2 linked regions of the Drosophila melanogaster genome follow. The gene in region 2 interacts genetically with the main gene of each other region. Each region holds a gene or a part of one and is shown on either strand. Other genes may lie near its edges.

The links. Genes that interact genetically often act in the same process or in processes that back each other up.
Region 1: of sog (region 2) and fw, changing one enhances a phenotype caused by changing the other (phenotypic enhancement), as found in Drosophila melanogaster (one study listed by BioGRID).

The regions. Positions count from the first base shown.
Region 1 is NC_004354.4:12,000,086-12,006,593, reverse strand, and holds the start of fw (furrowed), read left to right. Parts: upstream 1-2,679; 5' UTR 2,680-2,847; intron 2,848-4,074; 5' UTR 4,075-4,497; coding exon 4,498-4,666; intron 4,667-6,508.
Region 2 is NC_004354.4:15,629,935-15,636,553, forward strand, and holds the start of sog (short gastrulation), read right to left. Parts: upstream 3,501-6,619; 5' UTR 2,875-3,500; intron 1-2,874. UniProt on the Drosophila melanogaster protein: Putative negative growth factor. Antagonist of dpp, a protein involved in patterning the dorsal region and in the development of the neuroectoderm; dpp inhibition is enhanced by tsg.

The sequences.
Region 1 (6,508 bases), 3.6 Mb from region 2:
ACCATTTACATTGATAATGAACTGAAAACTTTTGAACCCATATATTTAAACATTGAGAAAATTGGCTTGTTATAAAATGTATAGCATTTCATAAGATATATGAATATAATATAATTATAGTATCTATTAGTTTATAGAACAAGCCTAAGATGTCCAGGTTTTGCCAACATTTAAATTTGTATAATATTTTACCATAGATAGATCATAAGTATTTCGTTAGTTCTGTGTTCGAAATGTAACTTGTAGATAAATTTCACCTAACACTAATTTGCCATTTAACTGGATTTGCGTATATATTAGCCGATATTCGCAAGCTTGATTATACTAAGCTTTCGGTTTGGACGGTTCAGCAATAAAAAGCTCTTATTCAAGTTGGCAAGACGTTAAGACGTTGATTAAAATGGTTAGTACGGTAGGTTTTGTTGGCCACTCTTTTGTTTAGCCCTCGATTTCAAGACCGCTGAATTGCTTTGTAGTTGTCTTTGCATTTAGCAGTTAATCTAGTTATATCATTACATAAAAATGTTAAATAATATATGCCAACTGAAGCATTGCAATGCTGCTGGCTCAAAAGACCATAAACTGACGTCAGATGGGTGAAAAAAAAATAGGGGGACTGTTTTCACGTCGAAGATGACGACAAAGCCTGGTCAACGGACCAATGCAACTTTGCGAAATGTTGCGGAATAATGATAATAAATTGTTAATCATGCGCAATGTTGGATTGAGAATGAATCGAAAATGTTACGTTGACAGATATGCGATTTCAAAAATTCCGCTTCCCACAAAAAGCTGAGAAATTTGACTTCCCTTTTCCGCTAGCTGAACTATAATCGCCAGTTTCGTTTATAGATTTTTCTTTATAGTTTCAGAGCTTCGTTTTTTGTTGCCAAAATAGCACTTTGTCATTGCGGTATATTGAACCTGGAATTAGGACAACTATAGAAATAAAATCCGAAAGTCCGTTCGTCACCTTTTTAACTTGTACAATTTGCCACAGTTTGCGACTTAGAACGTTGGGCATTGCCAATTATCGGTATTAAAACAGAATACGGCTACTATTATGATCCAGTTTTAGTACGGGTTTTAAGTCGCACTTCTTTCATTAACGTGTACTCGGCTTGGGTTACTTTGCTGGGAATCAACTAGCCAGCGAAGTTTTGAAAACGTGGAAGCCGAAGTTTGTATACCCTTTTCCCAAAAATTATAACTACTGGAGCTAAGATTTTCAGTTAAGATAATTCTTTTCTTGTGATAGAATATTAAATTGTGTTTAAAAATAACCATTTTATGGAGCTTTCGAGTTAGTAAACTTATAATTAAACTTATGATTAGGCCAACATTTCTAAGAACAAAAAGGGACACAAGATTAATTAGCAAAACTTGTTTGATGCCAAAAGAAAGACTGTTTCTGATTTTGGTCACGCGCCTTTTCGCCCCCGCTAATTGCGAAATTTACCCAAAATTTTTTATAGCTTAGCCATTTTGGCATCATAAGTTTATACGCCATATACAATTCTAAACAATCAATCTATCCAAATACGGACTTTCTAAAAAGATTCTTTCCAACAGATAGATAGATTCCTGAAGAAAGGTGCGGCTAGCATCTGGTGGATATGGAAAAGCGCGTTTTCCTTGATGGATCGGATGAACTGCCTCGGTGGAGGGGGCTGAAGGGGCAGCGAAGGTATAGTATATAGCGTATGGAACGCTTGGATCGGATCGACTCTCGAGCGAATTGTGTAAAGCTCTGCGATTGCGCATATTGTGTTTCGCGTTGCGTCGGCAACGACGCCACAATGCAAAGACAGCCAAGCGACCAGCGAAAAGCAACCGCCATTCGTCGAGCGGTAAATAAGGCTACTACACTGCGAGAAAAAGTCACAATAAAAACCAAAATATATGCATTAGGATCTTCCATCAAAACATGTTAGTTAGCACTTGTAAAATGCGCACAATTACAAAAATAAAGAGAAGTTGCAAGCATAATATATAAAATATTACATATATAATTACATCTAGACTTGTGCAATTAAATAACTTTAGATTCAGAACCGATTGAGTGGATAACTGTAAAGTTCGCTTTCGGATCGAAGTGATAAGAAAAGTGTGGGAGAACCACAATGTTTTCTAAGTTATCTGCAAGCTGCTTACTTTCTGCCGTTCCAGAATGTGTTAACTATTTTGCGAAAATCTAGTAACTTTTGAGAATGTCTTTGTTTGTCAAGTGTAAGCGGCGAACGGTCAGCCAAGCAAACAACCTACCACCAATCAACCTCATGTTGGTGACCATGCACAATGGGCGCTACTGAGCGTATTTTCCATTTTGGCCAGCTTATTAAGTGGTTCAACTGAAATGGGTAACAAAAGCTGTATAACCTTGGAAATATCGGGAGTATTGTACTGGAGAAAATTCTGTAACTATATAGGACCTTATAGGAATAATAACTTATAAATGGTAAAAGCTCCTGTTTTCATCCCATGGTTGGTTCCATTGGCGAGTCGTCGCTGCACATGCGCAGTTCGTGTCGCATGGGATCGTATGGCGTCGGTTCGGTTCGGTTCGGCTCGGCTCGGTTCGGGTTAGTTCGGCTTGGTTCGGATGGATTCGGCTTGGTGCAGACTGATACTTGATACAGCTTGGAGTGTGGTTCGTTACAAACTTCTGTGGGACATTAAAACCAGTTATAAGCCAACTTTCATTCCAAGCAGACGTGCTGGGAGTTTCGCATCGGAAAGCGGCGGTTTTTTGTTTCGCCGTTGCAGTAGCAACAGCAACAGCAGCAGCGTTAACTCGTGCAAATGCAGCCAGGTCGCCCAAAACGAGAAATAAGTTCACGTTCATAGGTATAGCCATTAATTTTTCCCATTTTCCTCGGCAATCCAATTCAGCCGCAAACCCAAGCCGCGCTCTTTTCGCCTTTTTTTTTCTATATTTTTTATATTTATTTTTATTTTTTTCCTGTGTGTGGTTACTGTTTTGTGTATATTTTTGTTTTAGTGGTTTTCATAGTGTTTCTTTTCTTCTTTTTTTTTTTTTTTGTTTGTTTTTTGTGTGTGAACTGGTCAGAGATTCAGTGAGTTTGCTTGTCTTACAGCTCCCACCCAGAAAAAACGGCTAAATCCGGTCATATTGAATCATGGCTGAGATATGAATGTTAGCAGTTCACGATTTATACGTACGTATGTGCACATACACATACTATATATGCAAATAATAAAATCGGGAATGTTTCTGATCGAGTGTTGTGCTTGTGTGTGTGTGTGTGTGTGCCCCAATATTTCTAGTTCTCAATCGAGCCAAAAAAAATAAAAACCGTGTACTTTCACACACAACTCAAATTAGCACCAACCAAAATCGAATTAGAGTGCCCAAGCCGAAACTTTCCTAATTCTCCACCAGAGGCTATATCCACAGTAGCCGATAATTAGTGAAAGATATTGACATACATATATAAGATAGTGGCCTGGCTCTCGCACGAAAGTTGTACCGGATGGTACCCAGTTTCAAGTTTTCAGATCCATATCCCCGGGGCGAAGTGAAACCAAGTCCCAGTGGGTTCTGTTTTTTTTTTTTTTTTTATAGATTTATAGATTGGTAGTAGTAGTTGCAACCTTGAAAGCAACACCAAAACACAGCACTCGCCCTCGGGCGATTTCGTTTGTTTCTCTTTTATCCATACCATACCATACCATACTTTACTATATGTAAATGTATCTATATATACATATATTTCATCGAATGTCTGTGGCTGGCTTATTCTTTCGAATACCCATGGCATAGCCGGGCAGCCCCCAAAAAGGGAAGCCATTTAAAGTTTACTTTTACTTTTTCAATCGAAGCAATCGAATGGAACTGAGTCGCTCAGACGGCCAGACAGACTGTAGATGTGTATATATCTATATCTATATAGTTATTCATACATATGGATATGTATATATTAGCTAGCGAGGTATGGGAACTTAGGAAAGCGGTTGAATTGGACAGGTGAGGGTGAAGTCAACGGCCGACAACGAATACTATGTTTGTGATTATCACGATTATTACAATGCGCCTTGGTTGATTTTATGCAGTATCCAATGCTATATGTAATATACATAAAACATCATAATTAGCCAGTGGAAATTCAGTGTGAATGCAAAGTGAAACCTTAATGAACGCATCACGATCGCTCACGCCATCTATGTGTTATGTTTATGTGCAAGTTTTAAAACAGCAAAAAATTATTAAAAAAATAGCGAGATAAATATATATACATATGAATAATCGACAAGTGTATGCATAAATTAATCGCTGCTGATGCCGCAACAACAACAACAACAAAAAACACCCCAACTGAAAACAACAAAAGCTAAAGCTATATAGCCAAAGCTAATGCTAATCGGCAGCCAACGAACGGCATCGGGCATTATAATCATCAACTTCAACTTCAACATCAGCATCCCGGGCATTGGAAACAACAATACCAACACACCTGCCACCAGCAGACAGACACAATGTTTTGCTGCAACATACCGGTGGATGCATCCGTGGCCACATCCACATCCACATCCATATCCACATATCCATTGCAACGGGCAACAAAAAGAGCCATGACTCCTCCAAATGCAATGGCACTCATTATGCTACTGCTGCTTGCACTGTGCGCAGCTGGGAATGGCCAAAGTAAGTTCATCCCATACAAACATTCAGTTGTATTGACCCCAATCTATATCTAAATACATATATAAGACTCGTAATATTTTCCAATTATCACCTCTAAACGGGGTCACCACGCTGAGAATTTCTCAAGTCGTCGTTTGTCCAAGTCGTTCTTTGTGATCTTGGGAAAGCGCCAGATGCAGCTTCAAGTTAATTAAAAACTCGATTTATGTAATCATCGGGTAATTTATTAATCTGTTTTAGGCCAAACTGGTAGAGAGCATACCAAAAAAAAAAAAAAAACACACACACAATTCTGAGTTTCAAAAAAAAGTTGGTAAAGGTAACTTTCGGAATCTGTATACCATAATCAATCTTCTCAATGAAAGAGGATTTTTGGAGAAATGCAATCATTTAAAATCATAATGAATGTAACAATCAGTAAGATTAGAAAATGTGTACAAACTCTGAATAGCCAAATAGTTCTAGCCATGATAAAGTTTATGTGAATTTCTATTTCCATACAAAGTCCATAATAATGATCTTTCAGTTAATGGGTTGATTTCAATTAGAGTTTGGGCAGAGACATCCCAATTACTGTGAGACATAAATTGCCTTATGGCCCGTTTCTTCTGTTTCTGTTAGTGTTGCTGTTTGTTTGTTTGCTTCGGCCGCCAAGTAAAATGGGGCTAACTCTTTTGGGTCATTTGGAGGGAGGGGCGAAAAGAAATGGACAGCCGGCTGGAGTCGAGCAGTGAAAGTTTCACAGACGCAGTGCCTCGAAAGACTGAAATGCTCAAAGACTCGGAGACGGAAAGACTGGAAGACTGGAAGACTGAGAGACTGAACGACTCAGTGGTTGAACGACTTCTGCGACAATGTGTTTGAGTTGGGTTTTAAGTTGGCTTGAAGGAAGGCACTTTGCTTGTGACATTCTTACTTCAAAAGTTTCACAAGTTCACGTCGTGCAATACGTGATTGCGTTTGTACATTTCACCGTTTGTAGATTTACTAGCCAACAGTTACAGGTATCCATCCATCCATCCACTCACATATGTATGTAGTTATATATTTAGGTATTGCGCCCTCTTACGTGCGCTAAATAACAAATTCCCTTGGCGATTTGCGTTTGATTATCAACATCGCCAACCGATGTTGTCACATCGGCAATATGGGGCACCTTTCTAATGAGCCACAATACCCAAATATTGGCAAAAGCTTATTTTTTTTCTACTGAGCAGTTATTTTCACATATTTATGTGGCTTAAAAATGCTGATATTTGCGCAAACTATTTGTCAGGTAGAAAAAAAAGTTTTTAAATTTAAGCCTGATTTCGAAACCATTTCTTTTTGAGGTCTTTGAACGCTGATTCCCCCTTGACTTTAGTTTTTCGAAGGTCAGCCATGAATCACAGACCAAAAAAATCTTGTTAAATACGCAACTTTCGCACCAACGCACAGTGGGAATAATCAGGACTTTTTGTGTAAAAAATACACAAATTTGAGAAGGTAAAACTTTTCACTGCCTAGTACAACTTATCAGAAGTAAATGAGGTTTAGTATGAAAAATGTAACTACTTCTTCATTTTAACCAGTTTTCCCCCTCTTTTTTCCACTGTGCGTGGCTTGTAGCATAGCTATAAATGTTTAAGGCATCCTTCCAGGGTTCTCATATAAAGAAAAAAATTGTCAAAAACCTGGTTTCCTTCATTGCTGTTCAACGATCCACGCCCTTTCAGCATTTTTAGCTTTCGGAGGAAGGTGGATGGTTGAATGGAAGGAGGGATGAATGGATGGATGGGGGGATGTCTGGGAGTGTGTAGGAAGATCATTGACACCAGTAAAACCGGATGAATGCGATTCAAA
Region 2 (6,619 bases):
CCAGGCAATTGCAAGCCCATATATATATGTGTATATATATAAATATGTATCTATATACATTATATAGTAGTTTCTTATCAGTCGATTGCAGAGCGGTTATGTCAGTGCTCCGTCGAGTGTTCAAGTTTTGTTTACAGCCCCACATTGTGGCCTATATCGGGCAGACAACTTTGTTCTGTGGGGGCTGACAAACTGACAAACTAACTAACTGACTAACTGACTAACTGACAGACTGACTAGCCGACTTAGCGACTAACTGACCAGCTGGCTAACTGCCCAACTGACTAAGCGACTGACTGACTTACTGACTAACTGATAAACTGCATTTTCCACTTGCCGCCTTAACTGGCAGTTCGATACTCGATCGCTTCTCGTTCGGGCCACATTGCGCATACGCCGCGTAATCCGATAGAACAGTAGCCGGTGTGTGCGAGTGCCGCTGAGTGTGAAACTCTTTGACAATGCCCGTCAAGGTGTCAAAGCTTCAAACCGCATTCAGCCAGCGAAGACTACGTAAATCAAGATGTTAGTTCATAAATTCGATTCTCAGTGTGCTGCTCATCTATGTGTGCGTGCTGTGTGTGTGTGCTTATATGTATGTAATGTGTGTGTTCGCGTGTGTGTTTGTTTGTTTGTAAATTATTTAATAGCTTGATTGACAACCGTGAGCTAAGTCGATATCCGACCATAAGGTCTCAGCTCTTCGATGCTTCAACTGGCGATGCTTTTTCGATGCCTTGGCGAGATCTTGCGGTAGGCCCGATTCTGATTGTTTGCTGTTCCGAGATGTTTCTAATGTAACTGTCAATCATAAATTAGATGCCAATCAAAAGCAAATCACAACAGCAGCAAAAACAGCAGCCACCAGCGCAAAATTGCCTGCATTCATTTAAATGGCAAATGGCAAATGGCGAACGGCAAACGCACACAGAAAGACATCAAATGAAACAGAAGCGGCAAAGTGACGGCTTTTGACTGCATAACAGGCCAGAAAGTATGCGCACACTGAGAGAAAATTCTCTTTTCTTGATTTCGAAAAACAGTTCGGAGACGTTGAAGATCAATATTGGTGTGTTTCATTAGTTTAAACAGCCAAAACAGCTGAAAAGTAAGTTTTTTTTTCAATCTAGAAATATTTGCATTTTCCATAAATCGTACTGCCTAAAATATTTTTTCCTTTTGTAATTATTTGTTCAATGCAATTTCTTCAAGTGTACTACATAAATATGCACTTATGCGTGTGTGGTTGAGTACTATTTCACTGCAGTCACATGCAATTGATTTGATGGTCATCGAAGCCAGAAGGTCCAATCATTTGAGACATCTGTGTGAATCAGTTAGAAACAGTGGACAAATTAAAAGTGAATAGGTTGAAAGGAGACCAACTACTAAGTTCAAAGTTCTTAAAAAAATCTTAAAAGCATTAAATGAAATATAAGATTTCCGGGAAATTTGTGTGCGATTCGATTGAGTAATTTTCCGGAGGTTCCATCGTACGAAAGTTCACCATAGTTTGCGGCACTCAGAAAGCACCTAGATGATATTCCATTATTTATAAGCTGACTAACCCCCCATACAAACTGCCACCCTAGCAACAGAGATTCCGTGTAGCTCTTTCTCCCTTCGCCAGTCCACCCGTCCCACTCGCACTCGCACTATGTCTTTCTGTTTCTGTGCGAGAGCAGGCCAAAAATATCGCGTATACGTCATGTGTGCCGTGTGTGTGTCATGTGTGTGCGAATGTTTTGTTTGCCAGACAAAACAGCAGCACGTAAAGTGGCAGTAAAACCGCAGTTAGCCAACTGGCCAACATCGTTAAATTTTGGTCGTCTTCTTCTTGTTGTCGCGATCATCGAACGATCAAACAAACTCAAACGATCCGGCGATCGATTGTTTGATCAATTGATGGACGGAATGGGATTCGTGAGACAAGCTAAAGTTTGAACTAAGTGATGGAAGTTTTAGTTTAGCTTAATGATCGAAATAAAACACCATACAATCTTACTAACAGATTGTTGCTTAGCCATTTCAATGGTTGGTTATCATATCAGCGGCATGATAATGATGGATTTTCCGAGCGCAGTTAAACTCTTCATCACTGTCGCTAGATACTGCGAGTATCTGTCGACTTTCAAGCGATCGAGAGTACCTACACATACCTGGGCTGCGTCATCGAGTACGGTAATCTAGGTATTTACCCCCCGCCCCATTTCCTCTGTCACGCCCTCGATTTGAATCATGCTGCAAGTCGGCAACAATTGCCATTCGATTGGAATTGTAAATGGTTCGTTGTCGGTCGGTGTTGCTTTTTCTTTCTGTTGCCGGTTGCTATTGAAACGCTCTGGAAATTTCATCATTCGCCCGACCGCCCGATCGCCCGATCGCCCGATCGATCGATCGATCTATCTATCTATATATCTATGTATATATCTGTCTATCTATCCCAGCTATCCACCGATCTGCCCCCTTTGCCGTTCTGCAACTGGTCCGCATCGAATGTTCGATGTTCGATTGATTTTTCCCATTCTTTGTGATTACGTTTTTTCTTGTCTTGGTTTTTTTTTTTTTTTTTTTTTTAGGTCGCCCTTTTGGCGTCAGATTCGATCTAAACACAGTAATAATAAAAGAAATCATGCCCCATTCCTGGGTAATTGTCTCGTTTTTGGGGCGTGTGTCGCCTCGATCTCGACGATATTGGGTCGGAATCGGAATCGGAATGGAATTAGAATTGAAATTGGTCGATGACATTCCATTTCAATGCGATCATTAAAACCGAAAGTGACGGACTTATAATCCAGAGGGGCAAGAGCTTTCAGGTTGCAGGTACAGTGCGTTTCAGGATTGTATTGTTTGTTGAGACACTCTTATCATTACCTTCATCTGTTCTAGAGCTAGCATTTCGTTGCCAAGTCGCTGTGTGTTATTTAGTTATTGAAAGGGCAATAGAAGAATTCGGTTAAATAGTTATTGCTTCTCAAAACGGCCAGACTTAACATGCCGAAACGCAGTGTAGCAGTGCAATCACTATGAGTACTATTTAACGATTCACCCACGCCCATATGTGTGTGTCGATTAATGGCGATTTAAGCTGCAATTTCCACAACTAATAATCATGAGTGTAAAGTATAATTTCCGTTTCGGGCTTTCGGGCACTTTTCACGTTCCTCAATGGCAATTTAAGAGGTTCATTAAAAACCAATAACTACGACTGTAATTGCACCATTCCACAGACGCGCGCACATACATACGTTTCACAAGAAAAAAAAAATAGGGGCAACAATGAACAATGAAATAGAATATCGAGATATGGAAATATATGTTCTATATGTTCGTTTCGTTTATATGTATATGCGGACATATACATATGATTTATATGCAATACGTCGCCAAAAACGCGCGCGCAATTTTCGAAATGACTCCTGCGGGCTGGCAATCGTTATCGTTTGGATTGGTCATCGATTTCGGTGCGCGTTTCTCTAGCGTCGTTCGTTCGGTCGTCGCGATCTTTGACAAACTGAAGTTTTCAGCATATAATCATATAGACCTAGATCTAGACATAGCGGTTCGCTCTCTCACTCGATCTCCCTCTCTCTCTCTCTCTCTCTCTGGTGCCATCACTCTCCGCTCCCAATGTCGCCACCCACTCTCGCCGGCATCGCTCACCTTACCATCTCCCCCTTTCGCAAAATAGACATAGACAGCTCCAAGCGGACTCTCCTCTCCCTTCCTCTCCTTTCCTCTTCTTTCCTCTCCACGGCGGCGACAAATCGCTGTGTAGCCATGTGTATGTGTATGTGTAGCCACAGAAAGCCATTTCCAAGAGCATTACGTTAGGATCTAAGATATTACGACTTTCAGATACATTTGGTTCCGAGGGATATCTTTAGAACGCTTTTTTGGTAGCTTTATTAGAAACTAAAGGTGATTTATCATAATATCTCATCATATTCATTTTATTTGCAAACCCTTTTCAACTTTTCAGGATAAAAAAGTAATGAATAATGAATACTTTTGAGTTTTCTAATAATTAGGAACTTATTTTCACTTATAAGCTTTAAAAAACAGTTTAAAATAGTTTTATTACATAAGTAAAAAAAAATATATATTTTAAAGAAATCGCTTAATGCGTATATTTACAAAAGCTTCGTTCATGACCAATTACATTACTTCATTGTTTTTTTTTTCCCAGTGCAGCTTGGCATTTTAAAGGCTTTCGCTGTCTTCCCATGGAAGCCAAAAGCTTCTTGGCAGCCCAATCGTGCCCGGGATTGGCGGCTAGTGAGGCGTTTGGCCTCGCCCACTCGACTCGAGTACAGTGAAAACTAACCTAGGACAGCCCACAATGCCGTGGATGTGGCCAGGCGGAAGGAGCTGTATCCATTACGTTTCATGACGCTTGACGGCTAGAGATCAACACAAATATGCCGAATATTTTTGCGCCTTCGGTGCAGCGAACAAAACAACATTTGCTGACGTCACGACGGCGATGATCCATCAAAAAAAAAAAGTGCGGCGGGGCGAGGCAAACAACAACTAACTAACTGTTGGCCAAGTTATTTATTTTTGTTACTGCATTTTTGCCAACAAAGTGCTGTGGTGCTGGACGTCTAAAAATAGTCGTCACTAGCATAGCAAAGTTGTGTAGAACATTTTCACTGGCTCGATAATGTGTGTAACTATGAATACACACACTATCACAACGGTATCCAACCTTATGGACATGCCCAGTACCTCTACCATCTCTATACCCATAGTCGAGTGCTAACAATCTGGTTTCCCTTTCAATTCATATTCTGTCACGATCGAACGTCAAAGTCTCAGTCCCGACTTTTTGAATTTCTGTTTTTCTGAGTTTCTGAATTTCCAACTTACATATATATTTCGAAGCGATCGAGACTGCAACGTGATGGAAATTGGCGAGAAGCTCGAAAATGGCTGCGATTTCGATGGAAATTGGGCAATGCTCCGTTGGCACAAAAGTGCATTGAATAGAAATAAATATATTATAAATATTCATAATATATATAAAATGTGTCATAAGCTACTAATTGATTGTACTGAATATATTCAAAATCGCACTTCAAGCTTTCGAGACAAACTGGCATACTCTGTAAAAATATTATTATTATAATTTTGACATTGCTGATATAATTCTCCTCAGCTTGCTAAGAAATAGATGTTCAATAATTACATATGAAAATATTTTCAGGCACCATAAGATGTGCAAATATAAAAAGCAAATGACATATTTAATTGACAAAAAGGCTTCACCTTTTTTATATCAGTTTTTGCAATAAAATTTGCCCAATCCCTGCCACTTAGCTTGGCTAACAATTAGTAGATAAACCAGGTTGCTCGCACTGTTATCAAATTTGTTATTTACTAAATTAGCAACTCGGTTGGAATCTTCAGGGCCATACTAGCTAGCTGATATTGAAGCTGTTTTAGTTGTTTTGGCTTTTTGGCCAGCGGCTGACACGAGACGGGAATGACCCCATAAATATTTGCCTGGCAGCTCGCATTCGCTTAGCGCCAAATCAGCTGCAAATGCGGCGGCAATTAGTGCCTTTTGGCATGGGCGTTGGTCCAAGGGGGGCCACAATAGGAGGTGGGGGAAGAGGGGTGGGGCAATACAAAAGGGGGGCAAACAAGTTGGCAAGGTAAGCAAACAAGCCGGCGGAAAAGGAAACAAACAAAGAGCGACGGGCAAACAAACAGCACGCGATCATAAAGTCAGGGGCACGTGCGGGGCTTATCCTTATAAACAGATATACATATATATATATATATATATATTTCATTTATATATATAAATAGCGAATATAGCTACCTATAAATTGAACCCAGCACATGATGCAAATTCAATAAATAAATGCAATCCAAGCGAATGCAAATGTTTATGGCCACAGTTCGGCGGCAATGCTGTCAAAAAAAAAAAACAATATAAACACAATAAATCCGCAAAAAAGTTGAAAAAATAACAAGAACAAAAAAACACAGACGGGCTAAAAAAAAATAGAATTTTATCAGCGATCGCATAGAGGCGCGTGATCTTGCCAGAGAAAAATAGAAGAATAGAAGAAGTTGATTGTGTAGCCGCTGCTCTTTCCACTGCACGGCAAACATTTCATCAAAATGAGCTAAAAAAAAAGAAACAATAGTAGTTAATAACAAACAATGGCTAATTCTTGGCAAATTCGGATTACAGCACATCTTGAATGGTAAAACTTTTATAAAAGAAACCATAAAAGCGGCTTCGTTATCTTAACTCATAATTGCCAAAGATTAATATTAATTTCAATATGGAGTTAACTAAAATGCTATTTAAAATGTTTATAATTTATCTTATATTTTTACTTTATTATATTTTCAGATGTTTTAACATCTAATTACATTTAAGCCCATTGACACAATTTCCAAAACCATCTAAATTCTTACCGTGTGACAATGATGATGAGACTGGTAATGGGAATGCGAACGAGGAATGGGCATGACGACGATGTGGATGTGGATATGTGTGGACGAGGATGCAGACGAAGATGAGGAGGATACTAGATGCTAGATGCGAATCGAGGTGATGATGATGGCGATGAGTCAAGCCACGGCGGCGGCAATAGAT